Oryzias latipes: one gene and its partner. The protein of the gene in region 1 purifies or fractionates together with the protein of each later gene. This does not show direct contact. Links are inferred from orthologs where the notes say so. Each region holds a gene or a part of one and is shown on either strand. Other genes may lie near its edges.

What was found.
Region 2: the proteins of ciao1 (region 1) and narfl purify together in Homo sapiens (affinity purification with western blotting; 3 studies listed by BioGRID and IntAct, with this or other methods). This does not show direct contact. The link is inferred for Oryzias latipes from reciprocal best matches to the Homo sapiens genes CIAO1 and CIAO3.

What each region holds. Positions count from the first base shown.
Region 1 is NC_019867.2:18,358,970-18,368,657, forward strand, and holds ciao1 (probable cytosolic iron-sulfur protein assembly protein CIAO1), read left to right. Parts: upstream 1-3,763; 5' UTR 3,764-4,039; coding exon 4,040-4,178; intron 4,179-4,288; coding exon 4,289-4,437; intron 4,438-4,506; coding exon 4,507-4,618; intron 4,619-4,709; coding exon 4,710-4,798; intron 4,799-4,967; coding exon 4,968-5,163; intron 5,164-5,254; coding exon 5,255-5,324; intron 5,325-6,326; coding exon 6,327-6,561; 3' UTR 6,562-6,871; downstream 6,872-9,688. Other genes in the region: ES1 protein, mitochondrial-like, read right to left, coding at 1-34, 148-261, 332-384, 461-577; tmem127 (transmembrane protein 127), read right to left, coding at 2,186-2,496, 2,576-2,740, 2,832-3,069; snrnp200 (U5 small nuclear ribonucleoprotein 200 kDa helicase), read right to left, coding at 8,129-8,272, 8,351-8,443, 8,521-8,602, 8,710-8,870, 8,961-9,137, 9,221-9,364, 9,470-9,591, 9,682-9,688. UniProt on the Homo sapiens protein: Key component of the cytosolic iron-sulfur protein assembly (CIA) complex, a multiprotein complex that mediates the incorporation of iron-sulfur cluster into extramitochondrial Fe/S proteins.
Region 2 is NC_019866.2:12,254,840-12,264,589, forward strand, and holds narfl (cytosolic Fe-S cluster assembly factor NARFL), read left to right. Parts: upstream 1-3,972; 5' UTR 3,973-4,030; coding exon 4,031-4,096; intron 4,097-4,842; coding exon 4,843-4,938; intron 4,939-5,071; coding exon 5,072-5,215; intron 5,216-5,287; coding exon 5,288-5,414; intron 5,415-5,501; coding exon 5,502-5,636; intron 5,637-6,235; coding exon 6,236-6,354; intron 6,355-6,428; coding exon 6,429-6,558; intron 6,559-6,636; coding exon 6,637-6,709; intron 6,710-6,781; coding exon 6,782-6,919; intron 6,920-7,004; coding exon 7,005-7,162; intron 7,163-7,255; coding exon 7,256-7,497; 3' UTR 7,498-7,685; downstream 7,686-9,750. Other genes in the region: transcription factor E4F1, read right to left, coding at 1,320-1,401, 2,368-2,486, 2,740-2,836; hydroxyacylglutathione hydrolase-like protein, read right to left, coding at 8,873-9,038, 9,130-9,209.

The sequences.
Region 1 (9,688 bases):
GTGGCTGAAGCGCGCTGACTCAATCATCATGTTCCTGTTTATCAGTCAAACATGACCAAAAGTAGTTCCAGTCAAGTTGAATATCAAAACTATGACATTAGGGAAGAACAGAGCTCTTCTTAAGCGTGTCAAATGAGTGGCTCCAACCTGTTCTCCCCAGAAGCTGGTTGCTTTTTCATGTGGTCCATCACGTTCATCTGCTGTTGATTTGGGGCAAAAATCTGGAAGCGAGCGCCATTTCTGCTCAGGTGGTACATGGTGCTAAACACAAGTGTTTCCAGTTATGGTCATTCACTGGTGTACAAAACTTTCCTGATCTTCTCATACTCACTACACGCCCTCATGGACGTCAGTTCCATCCCACCATCCGCATCCAGAGAAAACCTAGAGTATAAGGAGAAATTCCAGCAATGTGTGCCATGATCTCATTACTGATCTCACAAAGTTCTGCTTAACCTACCACAGCGACATTGGTGTTTCCCCAGTTGCCATAGTCACCCTGGTGAACAAAGCAGGCAGGCTGGCGGAAAAAAACAGCCAGTGTTTGTTTAGAAAGCAAAGCCCTGGTTCCCAACATGGTTCTGCTTTGGTCTCACGGCTTTGAGAGGAGAAATGAAACGTTGGAGTTTCTCACAGAGCTTTCCACGACCTCTGATAGTCCTGATATTGATCCGAGTGAAGCGGCCTGTATATATACCTCCATAGTGCAGCCAAAGTGACGTGGCCACGTAAGACCATTGTCTTATCACACCTGCACTTGTTTCCCCACTGAACTCCCTTACCTACGCCATTACCGCCTTCACCGCTCCCCTAATCAACTTATTTAACCACAGAGGGACGCCTCCTGACAAATCCAATCAATATCTTTGTTTGCCTTTGATCTTCATGGGATTTGCTGGTGGAGAAATTGTGTTCAATGTTTAAAGCAGCTGAGTGACATTCCATATGCCCTTTAAAGTCCATTAGATTGTAAGGCTCTTACTCTCTAGTAATGCCATGTAGCGTCTAGACGGTGAACCCAGAAATATCCTTGGCAGATGGAAAAGACAGATCAAATTTAAAGGCTTCAGTTAGTTAGTGGAAGGCTGACATTTGGTTAAACTCCTGGACGCCTCAGTGGGATGTAAACCAGCAGGACGCAAAATATGACTTTGACTTTATTAGAATCAGTTGATGTAAGCAATCAATATGTACATACTGCTGACAGTATAGCAAAGATTAATAGTGGAAAAATGTTGTAAAACCAACTCGAAACACATTAGCCACAATTCCAAGTCTGAACTAAGTGAGAAGATTTGGGCTGAAACGTAAAAATTGCACACTAAAGAACTCATGCATGGGTACAACATGATGGATCCAACACACAGTCACAAAATACAAATAAGAACAATTCAAAGACAAAAAATAAAAAACAAAATAACCTTACATACTCATCCTGCAAACACTTTTCTTGGGCATCTCCCTTTCTTTACGCCCCCACCTTACAACAAAAACACCCACCCGGGCTGTTTTTTTTTCCTTAAACGCCCAAAATCTCACCCCCCCACCAAAAAGCACAGAATAAAAGACACAGAATATAACCATAGACAAATGTCTACAAAGCAAAAGAACAATCAAAGACAAAAAGAAAAGTATGTGCAATAAATAGGGTCAATTTTCATAAAAATAAAAATTTAAAACAATCTCGTCAGTGTACAGATGAATTTGCATCTATGGTGCATCTAAAAATAAATCATACATATGACAAGCACATCAAATGAAATCTAAATGCTGCTTAGCAAAGCTCCATCTTTCTCCAATTACATCAACAATCTGCTAAGAGCCAGTGTGGCTTTGGCTGCATCATCAAAATCTTAGGGAGTACTGGTTTGCACTCATTGCTTTTTTTTTTAATTTTACATGTAAAGACTAAATTCTGCAAGTCATTTAAATGCAGATATTTAACCAACCCCATGTTGAAATGAAGAATTCCCTTCTAAATGTCTATCACCACCAAATAAAAGCGTTCATGCACCTCAGCACTTTCATTGAATGAATCTGTGCACTAAAGGTACACAAACTGTTTTCGTTGCCAAGAATATTTGCAGAGATATTCATTTGATAAAGAATGTGGTTTGCGGGTCAAGCAAACAGCTGTGCAGAGAGGAAAGACAACCCAAGGCCATGTCGCCGCTTTTTGCTGGCATTATGGTGTGTAGGCAGGAGGTGGCTGAAACTGGTTGGCAATGTCATAGTCAGCAGGGAAAGTCTCGCTGCTGTCCTCCATTTCTGAGAGCAGCTCCAAGGCCTGCTCTTCCTCCTCGGTGGGATAATGGCGCAGGAGGTTTGCAGCAGTGGCTAGAATGGAGGCTCCACCAGCACCTGCCACCAGGTAGAAGCTGATGGCAAAGGTGACGTAAATGAGAGAGCCATGGTACTTTTTGTGTTGCTGCTGCAGTGACAAGATCAGTTCCGATGCCCAGTAGCAAAAGCCTATGACTGTGGCACACTGCAACACTGGAAAGACAAAGAAACCAGTTACATTGTAGCAATGTGTTTGATCTTTATTAGAAATGAAAACAAGCACTGTAGATACCTGTTAGTATATGTGCAAAAGCATATCTGCGAGTTATCTTTAGGGCAGGGTGTTTGGGTCCAAACACATCCAGGAGGAACGCAGTTAGACTGCACAGGATGCCAAGGAAACAGAAGGCAGCTATTACCCTTAGCAGCAGGATGGTCTGCGGATTCACACAGTAATCTGAAAAGACAGACGTGCCACAAATTCATATAAATTAAGGCACTCCATGATCCTCAGCTTAGAGTGGCAACGACTTTGTGCTGGTTCTTACCACCCAAAAGATTGGGATCAACGTATCCCAAGACATCTGCCACCCCGAGTTCTTGTCTCGGGCAGGTGCCTCCGTGAATCCGGAGCCAAGCAGGTTCAGCCAGAGCCGTGCACAGCGCTGTGATGGACAAAGCTCCGGGCAGGGCCGACACTAGACTCCGCTCCGGCTGTTTGGGAAGTGAGGTACCGGCTCTCCTCCTCCGACCTCCGGAGACAGCGGGACCCGGTGGGGCATACATAGCTGACCGAATGGCGAATTTTCTGTTGAAGTGGTAGGTTCCTCTTAGCACTGTCTTCCTCTTGACAGTAGTACCGGGTTATTGTGGTATTAGAGTAAAACTACGGCAATTGTCTTCCAGGATATGTCAAAGATTTCGGTGGCGATAAAAGTGCTCAACAATATAAAAACAACAATAACCGCTTCCCTAAAGTAGTCAAAAAATATTAAGGAAAAGCCAACACAAAGAACAGATCCTAAGCGGGCCTTTAGCTCTGTTGTTAGCCTCTGAAGCTAACTAAAAAAAATAAACACTTTACGTCACCAGTTCTCGGAGGAAAGACACTTTTTAGCGAACGAATGGGAAAAAATATAACCTGTAAACATCAAATCCCGCTGATAAAACCGTCCGTCTCTATGATACAAAAAGGAACACAAAACAAAACAAAAGATAGCTTACGCTGTTTTCCTCAAAATCCCTAACTTCCTGTATATGCCATTCTTCTTCGTGACGTTTAGAATGTTTGCTGTACACTACCGCCCCCAGCGGAAACTAAAATAGAAATGTACACAATGTTTAGCATGAAATTTTCTTTGCAAACAGTAATGTAAATATAGATTCATATTATAAAAATACATATATAGGTAGATCACTTTCTTTAAAAATATATAAATGAAATATTACCATCAAAACGTTTTATTTTAGATCAACCCATAATGCACCGGGTCCAGATCCCGATAAGCAAACATGGCGGCATTTCCTAATTTGACGCTTCTTTGAACTTATCTGTGTGAACAATTTTCCTTGGTTAATTTCCCCCTCCTTTTGTTTTAATGTTCATAAAGGTGTATTAATTTACTCGCAGTCCTCTTGTCTGTCGTTTTCCTCATTTGTGACTCTTTTTAGCCTAAATCTTTGGTTAACGGAAATCGAGAAAAGTGTCGAGTCGACGCCTGACAGACAGAGGAGTCACGTTTGCTGGAGCTCTGCCATGAAGGAGGCTATTTCTCTGGTGCAGAAACTCAGCGCACACCCAGATTCTCGGTGCTGGTTCGTCAGTTGGAGCCCGAGCGGTGCGCTGCTGGCTTCGTGTGGTGGCGATAAGGCCATCCGGATATGGGGACAGGAAGGTCAGACTCAGACAGACAAAGAGCCTTCTATTCGAATTTTGCTACGCCGATTTAAAATCAGTGGTTGGATGACCTTACCTTTTTTACAGTTCATGTTTTCCCTTTTCAAGGTGACTCTTGGGTTTGTAAAAACGTTCTGCAGGACGGACACCAGCGCACTGTGAGGAAAGTAGCCTGGTCTCCCTGTGGGAACTATCTGGCCTCCGCCAGCTTCGATGCGACGACATGCATCTGGAAAAAGAAGAACGACGACTTTGAGGTAAGGTTCGTTTAACCTCTGATCTAACACGTGTTCTGGCTCCACCTGGACTCTTTTCTTGTCTTCTAGAGCTTAACTGTGTTGGAAGGTCATGAAAACGAGGTCAAATGCGTGGCGTGGGCCCCTTCAGGGACTTTGCTGGCCACTTGTAGCCGAGACAAGAGTGTCTGGGTTTGGGAAGGTTTGTGTCCTCACCAGCTCTTGCAGGACAATCCTTTGTCACAGAAAACATATAGAGCTGGGTTGTAAACCTTTGTTTTCCTTCTTCACAGTGGACGAAGAAGATGAGTACGAGTGTGTTACAGTGGTGAACTCGCACACACAAGATGTAAAGCATGTTGTGTGGCATCCCACGCAAGAGGTAGGTCTGCACTCAGTCCTTCACCATCATGTAGTTGTTTTATTATTGTTGCTATTAATTGTTAAAGTGCATCTTTAGCCATATTTATGATCTACGTGCTGTTTTTAATAGAGCCATGGTAACGACGTTTGTGGGATCAATAAAGTTGTATTTTATTCTATTTCCGCAGCTCTTGGCTTCTGCCAGCTACGACAACAACATCTGTATTTACAAGGAGGAGGATGATGACTGGGAGTGCAGGGCCACTCTGCAGGGACACACGTCCACCGTCTGGAGTTTGTGTTTCGACGTGACGGGACAGAGGCTGGCGTCTTGCAGCGATGACCGCACTGTGAAGATTTGGAAGGAGTATCCAAGTGAGAGTGGTGAGAAGATAGAGGGGTAGTTTATGACATAAATAAAAAAAAATAGGATATTTTTTAATCACAGAATGTTTTGTTTGGTCTGCTTTATTAGGTGATTTGTCATGGAAGTGCGTTTGCACTCTGTCGGGTTATCATGGACGAACAGTGTACGACATTGCCTGGTAAGACTAAATACTTACACTACAGCAGGGGTGTCAAACACACGGCCCGCGGGCCTTATCCGGCCCGCCAGGTGGTTTACTCCGGCCCACACATGAAGAGTAAAAATCAAAAGGATGATTAAAAAAGAAAGCAAGTTTCTAGTCCATTCCTGTGGCGAATTATGATTTTTTAAAGAAATAACAGAAATGTGCAATTCCGCCACTAGGGGGAGTAAAGGAAAAGAAAAACAGTTGAAACAGCAAATATCTGCATGTGCCAAAAGCGAAACATAACAGCTCTGCGTCTGGGTAGGATGCACCTTGGTTCCCTATGAGCCTTACCGCTGTTATCTTGCTATAAGGATGATCATTAGCGACACCCTAATGACCAAAATGCTGTCAAACGTGAAGTGGAGGGAAGAGCCTTCCAGGAAAATTGGACAGAGTTTTTTCTTTTTTTCACGAAGCTGAATGTAAAACCCAAATGCTTTGTATGTCATCAACATCGCAGTGCTCAAAGAATATGACATTCAGCACCACTAAGAGACTTATCATAAAGAAAAGTTTCTGGATTGCTTCAGTGTCAGATGTAAAATATTCAGACTGCATTAATTTGAATAGACCAACTTTTCTTTAATTGAAATTAATTTTATTTGAGCTCCATTGGCCCCAAGTGATTAGGCTACTATGTTGATTGAGACATTTTTTCCAACTGAATAAAAAACTAAAACAAAGCTGTTATTTTGCTTTTATGTTACTGGTCCGGCCCACTTGAGATCAGACGGGTTAAATGTGGCCCCCGAACCAAAATGAGTTGGACACCCCTGCACTACAGTCTGGTGTCTGATTTTTTTTTTTTTACTTTAAAAATAGATTCTATTTACAGAGTTTTTAAAAAGTTGCCAAAACAGATTTTCTTCTTTGCTTTTTTGGCTGTACCACCACTAAAACAGCGCTTGTCATCAGTCGGCTGAATCTTTGTCCCCTTTACTATTATGGCTCAAACAACTGTCTGTTGCGTAGGTGTCGACTGACCGGTGCCCTAGCAACTGCCTGTGGCGACGACGCCATACGAGTGTTTAGGGAGGATCTCGCGGCCCATGCAGATGAGCCGGTGTTCTCGCTGGCTGCTCAGGTGAAGAAGGCTCACTGTCAGGATGTGAACTGCGTCGCCTGGAACCCAAAGGAGGCCGGCCTCCTGGCCTCCTGCAGTGATGATGGAGACATTGCAATTTGGAGGTTTCAAGAAGAAGACTGAACCTGCTGTGGAGACACCAGCAATTGGATGAAACCCTGTGCTGAACTTAAATGTTCTTTTCTTTTGCTATATAAAGTCATGCTTATACAGTTATCTTTATAAATCTGAATGATTGTAAAATGTAAAGTTTAAGTTCTATTTTTATTCACAAAAGTGATGATGGGTGTGCTGGTTAACTGTTTTTAGTCCTACAACTTAAAAGGAGCAAGAAACTAGTTCTGTTCTGTTTACATCTAAATACATCTTTATAGCAAAAAGCAGGTTTTCTGTAAAAAAATGATTTAAATAAAGCCTCAAACCCTTGGAGTGATCGGAGACTGTGCATAACTACTGTACACCCAAAAAATGGAAAATATATATATATATATATCCCCACACCTGAAATGTCTGAATAAGCTTGCAAAAATGTATTTTGGAAACGGAAATAAGTAACTGCACTGAATGAACTTGTTTTCAAGTTTGGTAGTTGGGTTTACCTTTGTGCTATCTTAGACGACCCCACCCTTACTTTGACGTGTTCTCCCTACCATGATAAAGGTGGAAAGATTTCATGTAATCCATGGACACCAGTGAAGATCACAAATCATTGAAGAAAAAAAGGTTCAGAGCACTGTCTAGTGGGTCTAGATGACCCAACTCCCAATGGTAAAGTGCCTAGGATAGCACAACACCACTATCAGTAGTCAAAGCTCACCAACTGGCTTGCACTGTTAATTTAACCCTTGTGCTATCCTAACATTGGGAGTGGGGTCATCTAGACCCACTAGAAAGTGCTCTGAACCTTTTTTCTCCAATGATTTGTAATCTTCTCTGGTATCCATAAATTACATGAAATCTTTCCACCTTTATCATGGTAGGGAGAACACGTCAATGTAAGGGGGGGGGGAGTCGTCTACGATAGCACAAGGGTTAAACCCAACTACCAAACTTGAAAACAAGTTCATTCAGTGCAGTTATTTCCATTACCAAAAGACATTTTTGCAAGCTTATTCAGACATTTCAGGTGTGGGGATATATATAGGGATAAAGGGAGGGGATCAAGAACAATCTTGTCAATATCCATTAAGTGCTGTAGTGACATGAGCTTGTAGCATAAAAGGGGCCAGACTAAGAACTAATTGTTTCATAATAAAACTATAAAACAATTTTCAGATGTTTTTATTGCAAAAAACAAACAGACAGCATGAATGATTAAACGGTTTAACCAATCCAAAAAATCTTATGACGTTTAACCAAAGTAAAATGGAAAGTCTAATCTATTTAAACATGCAATGTGGATGAGACTCAGCTGTTCAACGGCAGTTTAAGATGTCTTAGACTTATCTTTGAATAATTTTGTGAAAAGTACATCAATGGTCAACGTAAAGAACACAAAACTTCTGAAAAGCTGTTTAACATACAGGATAAAACGATTGTACTGACTACGAAAACATGTTATAACACCCACAGAGAACTGACAGGGTCACTCTCAGAGATTGATCGGGGTAAATATCTACATATAAAACCTGATCCCATTATTTATTGAAAAAAAAAAAAGGATTAAAAATGTAGAATTTGAATTTCCAGCTTAATCTGAATCGCTGTCGCTGTCTGCCTCCTTCACGTCCACACTGAACTTGTACTCCTGATCACAGCCCATGTAAGCGTCGCTCATGAAGTACAGCGTGTAGTTGTGAATGCCCATCGCTGGTGCCACAAAGTCCAGCTTGACCTACACAGAAGAACCAAAAATGAAAACTGTGGTAGTTTGCGTATTTTTGGTTAGGGAGTGTTCAAAGCAGCGGCTCACCTTCGCTTTTTGTTGCAGAGTCAGCCTCTTGATTGAGATCAGGCTGTTCGACTTCGGGTCTCCGATCACAACCCACCAGCCCTCCTCACGTTTCTGCAACGATGAGACGATCAAACGATGAAGCAAATGTAGGAAACACCTATAGGGAAGTGGACAGCCACTCAACTGACCTGAGGGAAAAGGGGAGCGACGACAGGGCCAGTCACCTCCTCCTCACGCTCCAGCTGAACCTGAACCAGAACTGGACTGCCACTGAAGAAAACACAGACCAAATTTTATCCAGAGGGCAGTGCTGATGTAAATCTGATCCAAAAATGCATCATTGTTTTGAATAGTTCTTGATTGGACTGCACACTAACCTCTTTATGTTATCCCTTTCTACCACTTCATACGCGAGCTCGATGTTGGGGTAACGGTTACAGAAGCGAGCCACGTCTGCCATCTGAGCGTCTGTGAGCTGCAGCAAGCCGCTTCGGTCTTCATCCTCCATTTCCATTATGTCAAATATACTCTCCACACCCTGGAGACAAAACACACAGGTTTAACTTTTCAGTTTAAATGTGCGAGCTTTGACAGAAGACAAAAGCAGCAGTCAGACGATGCGAAACACCTTGTCAGTACAACGCTTGATGTGCTCTGAGGTGAAGTAGGGCAGCTGTTTCAGGTAGGAGTCCTTGGACCACATAGCCTGGGTGACCATCTGGGCCAGCTCCATGGCAGCCAGCGCAGGACTGAGCCAGCCGTTACTAGACAGCACGTCCACGCAGGCCTGGATGAGGCGGATCGCCTGCATGCAGCAAACACACAGTGGGATCAGCTTTACACACACATTCACAGAAGAGGGAGGAGAGAAGCATTTCAAACGTGAACCTTGCTCAGGATCTCTTCAGTGTCTGACTGCAGCTCTGCGCTCAGCTGCATCCTGGAGAGATGAGCTTGCAGCAGCAAATTCGTCTTCACGTGGGGATCGTTGAACTTCGGGTTGTTGAGCTTGTGGGGAACTTTCTGTGCCAGCTTTAATGTAAAATTAGATCCACAATTTAATGTCAAATAAACGGTTAGACTTTGTGCTGCAACAAAAATGAAAGATGATGGATTCCCACTGTGGAGTCTGCTTACCTGTCGAAGAAGTGTGTCCTCGTGGTGCCTGATGGGAATGTTTTTATACTCAGCAGCATTGGAGATGATTTCAATTAACCCGCGGATCTTCGTCTTTGCGTTCAGAGACATGCTAAACAACTCTGCCAGACATAAGAGCAAAGTTACAGCGTGATGCTCAGCGTTCAGGACACGGCTTTAACCAACACAGAGAAGCAACGGTTGCTACAAACCGATGGT
Region 2 (9,750 bases), on another chromosome or scaffold:
TCCTGTTAACCTATAAGGCCTTACATGGAATGGCCCCGTCCTATATTAAGGACCTCATAGTCCCTTACCATCCAATAAGAACACTTCGTTCGCAAAATGCAGGACTGCTTGTGGTTCCTAGAATTAGTAAAAGTACGGTTGGAGGTAGAGCGTTTAGCCACCAAGCCCCTGTCTTATGGAATAAACTCCCAGCTCATGTAAGAGAGGCCGACTCAGTTTCTACATTCAAAGTTAGACTTAAAACATTCCTCTTTGGACAGGCTTATTGTCAGACTAGTTAGTATTTATAGATTATTTAACTTAATGTTAATTTGTTTAAATTAAACTTAATAACTATTTCTTTTAAAAGGCTGCTAGAAGTTGAAGCTGGGGTAACTATGGTGCACTGGGGTTCTGTCCTCTTTTCTTTTCTACTTCTACCCTTCCTCTCCTCTATTCTTGATCATAATTTATCATTTAGTTCTCCATGCCTCTGTTTAGTGCAGTGCGATTCATGTATTGTCCCTCTTTTCTTCTCCCCTCCTGGGGAGTGGGAGTGCTTCCAGACTCCAGTTGGTTCATCCGTGCTCCAGTTCCTGACCGTTTACCTCGCCTCTGCTCCTGCTCCTACACCTGGCTGTGGTTCCTGTCTCCGGCTCGACTCGCGCCTTTGACTGTCCCCCCAACCACGGCTGGATGAAGCTCGTCTGCTGGACTTTTATATGTGTAGTTGTAGATTTAGATAAGTAAATTCTTCTCTTTGAGTTCTGGTAAATCGCCTGTCCGTCCTGGGGGAGGATCCCTCCTTCATGTGGGCAGCCCTGAGGTTTCTTTGTTTTTCCGGAATCCGGTTTTTTTGGGAGTTTTTCCTTACCGCGAAGGGGGGTCTAAGGGCAGGGATGCCAGTATAGCTTAGTCAGTTTGTTAGTTCATTTTACTATTGAACTCTTTGTATTCATGATCCTTTTGAGTTCATGTTTTACTTCGAAGCCCATCGAGACGACTGTTGTTGTGATTTTGGGCTACACAAATAAAATTGAATTGAATTGAATCCTATGTAGTTTAGTGTCATTTAGAGTGTAATTTAAGTTAAGGTGACTCTTATTTAAATTAAACTGTTGCAATGAAATGGAAATGATGTATTTATTAGTTATTGTTGTTGCTATTTATTTCATGTATCGCAAGTTAAATTGTCATCGCATCATTAATAGTGCAAATCGCATTTTTTCCTCATATCGTGCAGCCCTAATTTTAAGTATTTTTTGAAGGGATTTTAATATGTTACACATGATTAAAGTGAATAAAATGAGTAAGAATCCAAACTAGTTTTGCTGACTTACCATCGGGTTTTAATGCTTTATCTGAAGATAAACCATCGGCGGATTTCACCTCTGAGGCACAACTTCCATTGGATGTAATGACCTGGGAGAGAAAAATGTTTTCCAACTCTGTAAAAATACTAATTAGAATGGAAAATAAGGGTGTAACGATTCATTTAAACAAAGATTCATATCATTATATGTGGTTGCTGATACGATTCATAGTCAATATTGGCTAATTTTTAACAATCCCATTCACTGACCTAAGACTGATCCAGGACGTCTTTAGCCAAAAATAGAACCAATGACACAAAAATAAATACCTGGGCACTGAACAGTGCAGAAGTTTTCCAGATTCTTCGTATTTCTTCTAAGATAATTAAAGGTAAATTACATATGTGTACAAAAAAACAATTAAACAAGTATTACTGGCAAATCCATTCACATTTTAGTTTTATAAAGTTCTTTCCATTGTTGTTTTTCTGCATTGAAATGATACAGAGGGATTAGAACACACTGTATGGGTGTATGTCTTCGCAAATTTAAGTATTTCCACACATTAGACTGAATGATGGCTTAATCATTTTTTTGCTGCCATTACGACCAAATGGTATTTTCCAATGTCGATTATGATCTGTTTATTTCATTTAGAAATTATTCTATAATTTCTAAATGAAATAAACAGATCATATATACATATATACATATAGGTATAGGTCGATTTGATCAACAAATGGCCTCAGATACTAGATTGATCTGGTTGGATCGTAGAATTAGAAATCAATTAATGAATTAAATGTTACACCCCCAATGAAAAACATAATACTGACTGACTATCAGAAATTTAATTGTTCAATTTGGATTTATCAGTTTACAATTCTATAAACAATTCAGATAAATGGCTTACAGATTTTTTTCTTATTTGTCCTTCCAAAAGAAAGGGATGGAATGTAAACATAAGAATATCGATTCAGGAATTTCTCAATCATTTCAACATTTTCTGAGTGAAGATTATAGACTCAAGTTGATTCATCAATACTTTAAACATAGTTCCAGATTTAGCACATACCTCTTGATTAGCAGTGTGGTCAGTCTCCACCCGTTTACAGTCGTTATGTAACTTGTGCTGGATAAATGCTTCAAGCGTGGAAAATTCGGATTGACAGCGTCCACACTTGTGTACATCGTCTAAAAACACAAAGACGAAGCATATTTAGCTACCATTAGCTTAAAAAACTATCTAGCACCAAAAAGCTATCACCTGCTTATCTGGGCATCTTTTAAAAAGGCCGCTGACAACTCAAACCTGCAGCAAAGCCGTAAACTAGATGTTGCTAAAGACGAATTAGCAACAATTTCGCGATGGAGGAAGTTAGCAAGGCCCAAACTACGGACAAAAAACCCTGATTTTGGGAGTGTTTTGAACTGGCTGAAAACTAACCTTCATCTCCAAGGGTGGTTTGAATGGTGATAGTCTCACTGCCGTTCGTCGTTCGCTCCTTCTCTGTTTCTGCCGTATGATTATTTTCTGCATTCATGTCGTTTGACTTCTCCGTCTCTGTCGCAACGCTGTGCTGGGGAGGGAAAACATGGCGGATTTACGACCCTGTAGTCATAACAACAAAAGAGCGCATGCACTCGCATGCAGAAGATAAAATAATAAACGAAACATTTAACCACAAAAATAAAAAGGCATTCAAAAAACGATACATTTGTTATTATTATTATTATTTATTTTTTATTATTTTTTTGTTGAAAGAAAACGTGATAAAATCGTTAAAGCTGTCGTCATTTATATTTGGATTTTTACTTATATTTCATTTGTATTTTTGAAAAAATATTACTCTATAAATGTTCCAATAGCGATAGTAAAAATATTGGCATTTATATTGACAATGCACATTTTACTACATAGAGATGCAGTATGTCAAACACACAACCATCATCACGAATAAAATGTCACCTCTTAGTGTAAACCACAAAGATTTTCTATTTAAAAAACATTCCATTTTTAAAATTACTCTTGAATTATTTAAGACTCTTCAAATTACTGTATGATATATTTTAGGATGAGCATCTGACATCTTTTTGTCAAGATTCTCTCAAGGCACTTCACAAAAAGCAAACTGAATGAAGCAATGTTGTTTTATTCAGACTTTCCCCTAAAGTTGTACTAGATTGTTCAGTATAGGTTGTTACAATCTGACCAAAATTCCTTTGTTGTATTTATATTTTGTCCCTAATTAAGTGACCAACATATTCTAATACAGGTTCTTTTGTGTGTTCCACTTGACATATAACTAATAAAATGCAAACTTTAAAAAAAAAAATATTACATCTACAGAAGAAACTGTGCAAATACAAACAATTAGCACAATCAAGTTAAAAGTTGTTCTAACTAATAGAAAAAATCTTTTGACAAATTACAAAGATATAATCCATTTGCAAATCTGCAAATTAAATTACACAAAAAAGCCTTTGTGATTTGTGAATACGATTTGAATAGATACAACATAAAACAACCCAAGTATTTACCAGATACTGTGGTAAAAAAAATGTATTTACTTATTTTATCTTAGTTGACAAATGTTGCACATACAGAACATGCATGGCAAACCCATTGACTGTATGAGAGAATGGGGCAAACTATTACTATTAGTGGAGCCTGAACGTGCTCTTCCAGACCAGCATTTCACGACACAAGAGTAAACAACGGGTTTGCGGCAGTAACTATGGCCTCTGTCTTCAGCGGTGTACTGCAACTGACAGATCTGGACGATTTTATCACCCCTTCCCAGGTCAGTGTCAAAAATAATACTTAAGTTTATTCTAGAAGGACATTACAAGCAGAGGAGTTTCGCTTATTTCCCAATCAAAATGCTAAAAGCTCAGTTCGCTCTTAGGGAGCTAAGCTAGCATGCTCTGGTGGTGGTAGTTGCTCTTGTAAGTGCTGTTCCTGGAAGAAGAAACCAAAACAAACAGATTCTAGTTAGCCTTTACGTTAGTAAACATGTAGTGTTCGTTTCTAGTTTTTACATATATTACTTTCGTCTAAAATTACAATTCATTGGCAGCAAAAATAACGAATCGGTTAGCTTTTGTTTTGCTAATGGTAACACAGATGTCAAAACATGGAAAGAAGTTGCAGTATTGATCGGACTTTCAAACAGACAAAAGTCAAAACACATGGATAAAACATGTCTTTACTTCATGTATTCGTCATTCATCCTGTTGCCACTGACTTTTGTTTTGAGCTCCTGTAACCCCAGATGCTTGAATGATGCCCCTGTATCCCCTCCAAACTTATGACTTCTCAAGACGAAAATAACACTTAAAGGCCTTGTTTTCTCCACCTACATTTGGTCAATGATAAACTATTACTAATTCAATGTGATCAAATCTAAGCTCTCTGATCATTCTGACTTTTGTGGTGTAAATTTGCTTACAGTTCTCCCATCCCATTTTTGCATGTTGACAGAAACTACGTATCAGGTTCAACGGTTGTTTACCTTTTTGTTTTTTTCATATCTGTGTTTTTCGTTAGGAATGTGTCAAACCAATAAAAGTCGAGAAGAAACAAGGCAAATCTGTGGCCAGAATACAGATAGAGGATGATGGTAGTTATGTCCAAGTCAACCAGGTGAGGATTCACACTTATTTTTGCCTTTTAGTCTGAGGTATTTGAATCATGAATGGACTTCATAGAGCAGACTGTCAGAGTACCAAATGCAATAATTTAGTATCATGCTCATGGAAGTGTCTTGTGTTGAAAGGATGGCGGGAAGGAGAAGCTGGAAAAAGCAAAGATCTCACTGAACGACTGCTTGGCGTGCAGCGGTTGCATCACCTCAGCTGAGAGTGTCCTCATCACTCAGCAGAGCCCCGAGGAGCTTTTAAAAGTGCTTCGGAACAACAAGGTAGAGTGTTTTGCTCAGTTTGTCTACTTATGGTTGGGTTTGTGTTCCGCTTAAGTCTTCGTTCCCCCACAGGGTGCAGCAGAGCAGAAGACTGTGGTGGTGTCCGTGTCCCCGCAGTCCAGAGCGTCCCTCGCTGCACACTTTGGTATCAGCAGCAGTGAGGCAGGAAGGAGGCTCACCTCTTTCCTCAAAAACCTGGGTAACGTTTCCCTCTTTTAATGTTTCATAAATCAAGTTGAAGCAGTGGCTGTGTACGTGTCTGAAAGATGGTCGCTTTTTTTTACAGGGGTTCACTATGTGTTTGACACCAGCTTTAGTCGGACCTTCAGTCTGCTGGAAAGTCAGAGAGAGTTTGTGGAACGTTTCCAGAGGAAGGGACAGGACAACAAGGCTCTGCCCATGTTAACCTCCGCCTGTCCAGGTACGGACATAGAGCTCCATGATAGAAAATAGAAGCCAAAACTTCACAACTTCTTTGAAAGCTTTTAGCTTGATTTGAATGTGGAACGGAAACCACATTTGTGTATTTATTTTGTTTTTGAAGGCCTTCTATTTCGTATTTTATATATTTATCAAAGCCTAATAGTGAATGTTCATGACATTATCTTTAGCTCCAAAAGCTTAGACAGAGTTTTCAATCGGAATCTCAGTATCACCACTTTGTTTCAGGTCCTTGACGTTTTTTAAGGGTATCAGTTTACGCTCTTCTTTTCTCTGAAAACGTCTCTGAAAGGTTGAGGTCAGGACTTTTGCTGAGCTGTTGTAGCAGCTCAACCCCCCCCACCCCCCACCCCACCATGCTGTTAATGATTTGCTAGGGTGTTTGGGATTGACTCACATTTGACTTTGCGATGTTTGACCGTCCAGTTCATGACTGAAGCTGTGACAGCAGCTCTCATTAAAACTAAAAAAAGACAATTAGCACAACTTTTCTATAGGCTTTGGTTAGGAATGAAATAGTTGGTGCATCAAACGCTTTGAACTCCATTCAGACCAAAGTGTGCGTTTATGTGTGTTCAGGTTGGATCTGCTATGCAGAGAAGACACACGGGGAGTATATTCTCCCATATATCAGCACCACCCGCTCCCCCCAGCAGATGATGGGGTCTCTGGTTAAAAGCCACTTTGCAGAAAAGCAGGTGGGGTTTGGATTTCTCCGTTCTGTAAATATTTCAATAAAGACTAACTGAGCTGGATCTGTTTGTGCTGTTAGGGGCTGAGTCCTCAGCAGATTTACCATGTGGCTGTGATGCCCTGCTTCGACAAGAAACTCGAAGCGTCACGCTCAGATTTTTTTATGAACAAAGCGGAGACCAGAGAAGTGGATTGTGTCATAACGTCTGGTACAGTAATTACCCTTATAAGTAATACTTAGGTGCATATGCAGCATCCACATGGTTATTTGTCTGTCCTCTCTTCAGGAGAGGTTCAGAAAATGCTGGAGGAACATCATATTTCTCTGAATGATGTTGAGCCTGGAACTCTTGATTCGATGTAAGTTCCCTCTTTTTTTAAGAAAACTTTATCTCTCAAAACTCTTCTGATGCTGCCTATTTTTACCCTCAGGTTCAGCAGCGTCTGTGGGGATGAGCTCCTGAGCCACGCTGGCAGTGGATCCGGAGGTTACCTCCATCACGTCTTCACCTATGCTGCTAAGCAGCTCTTTGGAGAAGAAGTAAAGGAGCTCACCTACAAAACTCTAAGGTTTGCTCACCTATATAAATTGTGTCTTTTTACAAAAAAAACAAAAAGTTGCTTTTCTCATCTTCACTCTTGTTCGATGGCCCAGGAACAAAGACTTCCAGGAGGTGAGACTGGAGAAAGATGGGGAAGTTCTGCTGTGCTTTGCTGCAACATACGGATTTCGCAACATTCAGAACCTTGTGCAGAAACTGAAAAGGGGAAAATCCCTGTACCATTTTGTAGAAGTTATGGCCTGTCCATCAGGTATGATTTTTTTATAGTTGGAATAGATTAAAAAAAAAAAATTCTAACTTTGATGCAGATACGATACTTTTATCCTTCTTTTTATTCTCCCAGGCTGCCTTAACGGAGGCGGACAGATAAAGGCAGCCGCTGGTCAGAACCAGAAAGAGCTGCTTCAAAAAGTTGAGGAGCTGTACAAGGAAGAGCGCCCCCTACTGCCAGAGGATGACACTCGCGTGGCAGAGATTTACCAAACATGGCTCCATGGCGTGGGAGAAGACAGAGCCAGAGAGCTGCTGCGCACACAATACCACGCTGTAGAGAAGATGACCAACGGACTCACCATTAAGTGGTGATGAGTCAGCAGTATACCGCTGAGAGTCCCAGCTGATGATCCCTGTGCCTCAAGATGACCCAAATGTCTTTTTTTGGTTGTTCAAAGTATAAAAACAATGCTTTAAAAAAGATAATTATTACTCTTTTATTTAATAGTTATATGTACATATGCTTTTGCAGAAATAAAATGACCACAAAAGCTAGTTATTAACTGATGTGCTTTTTTTAATAGAAATTTTTAATGAACAGTTAGTTTTGTATTAGAAAGCAGCAGAAGTTGCAATGACAACAAACAGTTTTCTTCTTTACCCTGTTGGTAAAAGTTCAAATAAAGTAGAAACTCTGTACATAAAACAACAACAAGAAAAACATATTACACTTAAATTCTAACAACATTCTTGAAGAAATTGAATTTTTAATGATCTAGTTCAACCAACTTAGCCCTTGTGCTATCTTAGATGACCCCACCCTTACATTGACGTGTTCTTCCTACCATGATAAAGGTGGAAAGATTTCATGTAATCCATGGACACCAGTGAAGATCCCAAATCATTGAAAGGAAAAAGGTTCAGAGCACTGTCTAGTGGGTCTAGATGACCCAACTCCCAATATTAAAGTGCCTAGGATAACAAGGGTTAAAAAGAAAATGGAAACAAAACAGATTGGCTGTAAAATATTTACCCTATCAAGAAGAAAAGAAATACTTCAATAATAAACATTTGATCTGAAACCAATTTTAATGTTACTTTTTTCATTTTAACATTACCTGCTGCAAACCATTTATACATAACAGGTCATTTTTAAATTAGATATTTCAGTATAAGTGCCTTATCTCCTTTTAAATGTGCATTGCTTAAGACTTAAAGTAAAAAAAAAATTACGTCATTTGGCATCAGAAAACTGATGTGCAGAGATTTTTGCTTTAAAACGTTAACAGTTTTATGGAGTTGGTGCAGACAGCTGGGCGGCACAAAAAGAGTTTTTTGGCTCTCAAAGGAAAACAGCCTTGAATGGGCCTTTAAAACCCTTGTGCTATCTTAGGTGACCCCACCCTTACATTGACGTGTTCTCCCTACCATGACAAAGGTGGATTAAGGTGGAAAGATTTCATGTTATCCATGGACACCAGTGAAGATCACAAATCATTGAAGAAAAAAGGTTCAGAGCACTGTCTAGTGGGTCTAGATGACCCAACTCCCAATGTTAAAGTGCCTAGGATAGCACAAGGGTTAACCAAAGCAGCCACATCATAGTTCATCTATACAACCAGGATTGGTAGCTGGTGAACCTCATACCATAAGTTCTTGGGTTGGGCATCATTCTCTACGATACACTTCAGTGTCTTCCTGCATTAAGTAGGTCCTCTTGATGGTGGATTGTACCCGAAAGTTAAAGCTAAGAAACTGGATCACGAGGCCGAAGCAGTCCCCACTGCAGAGCGAACAGGGCATGAGGCGGAAGTCTGTCCTTGGGTTTTTTAAACTTGTCCCTCTCCTTCCGAAGGGCCCTCAAAACCTCCACAGGCTCTGTCTTTCCAGTGAATTTTTGCACCGCCTCTACCCTTTTGAGAAAAGAATGAACAAAAAAAGCTGAATGTAGAGTTTCCTTACGGTCATTGGCTGTACGTGGAGTTTACGAGGATCCAAACTCACGAGAGCCGAAGAAAGGGGTTGTACTCGAACTCCTCCACCAGGGTGGAAGGCACTGTGGGTTTGTCGTCATCATCTCGTGCCTGGAGGACAAAAAACTGTTAGAACGGTCAAATACTTATATGCACAAAAAAAACTTATTTTATTTGTGGGGTAGAAGACTTGAATTTGTGTTAAATGTTGGAACATGCTATTATTTTCATGTGTTTCAGAGATAAAGCCAAAAATTTAAGAGTCAAGTCTGGTCTAATTTAAAAACAAAACACATTACTGACACTACACAGTGCTTAAAATAACCAAAAGAAAGAATATAAACCATAAATAAATAAGCATGAATTAAAATCAGTTTTTAATTATAGACTTTTTTTTACTGATTATTCTAATAGTTATTTTACGTCAAAAAAAATGTTTGCACTACAAAGACTGAAAAAGTTTAAAAATTTGTTTTCCTACATACACTTTTTGTATGAATAAATTATGGTATATATAAACCCCACCTCAAAGGTACCAAAACCTCGTCAGCTTTTTTCACTTTTTACCAAAACACATATTCTTTTTAGTTTTCCAATGAAATCCGGTTTCAAAAATCTTCAAAAATAAAAGCCTATTTTTGCACTCCCCCCC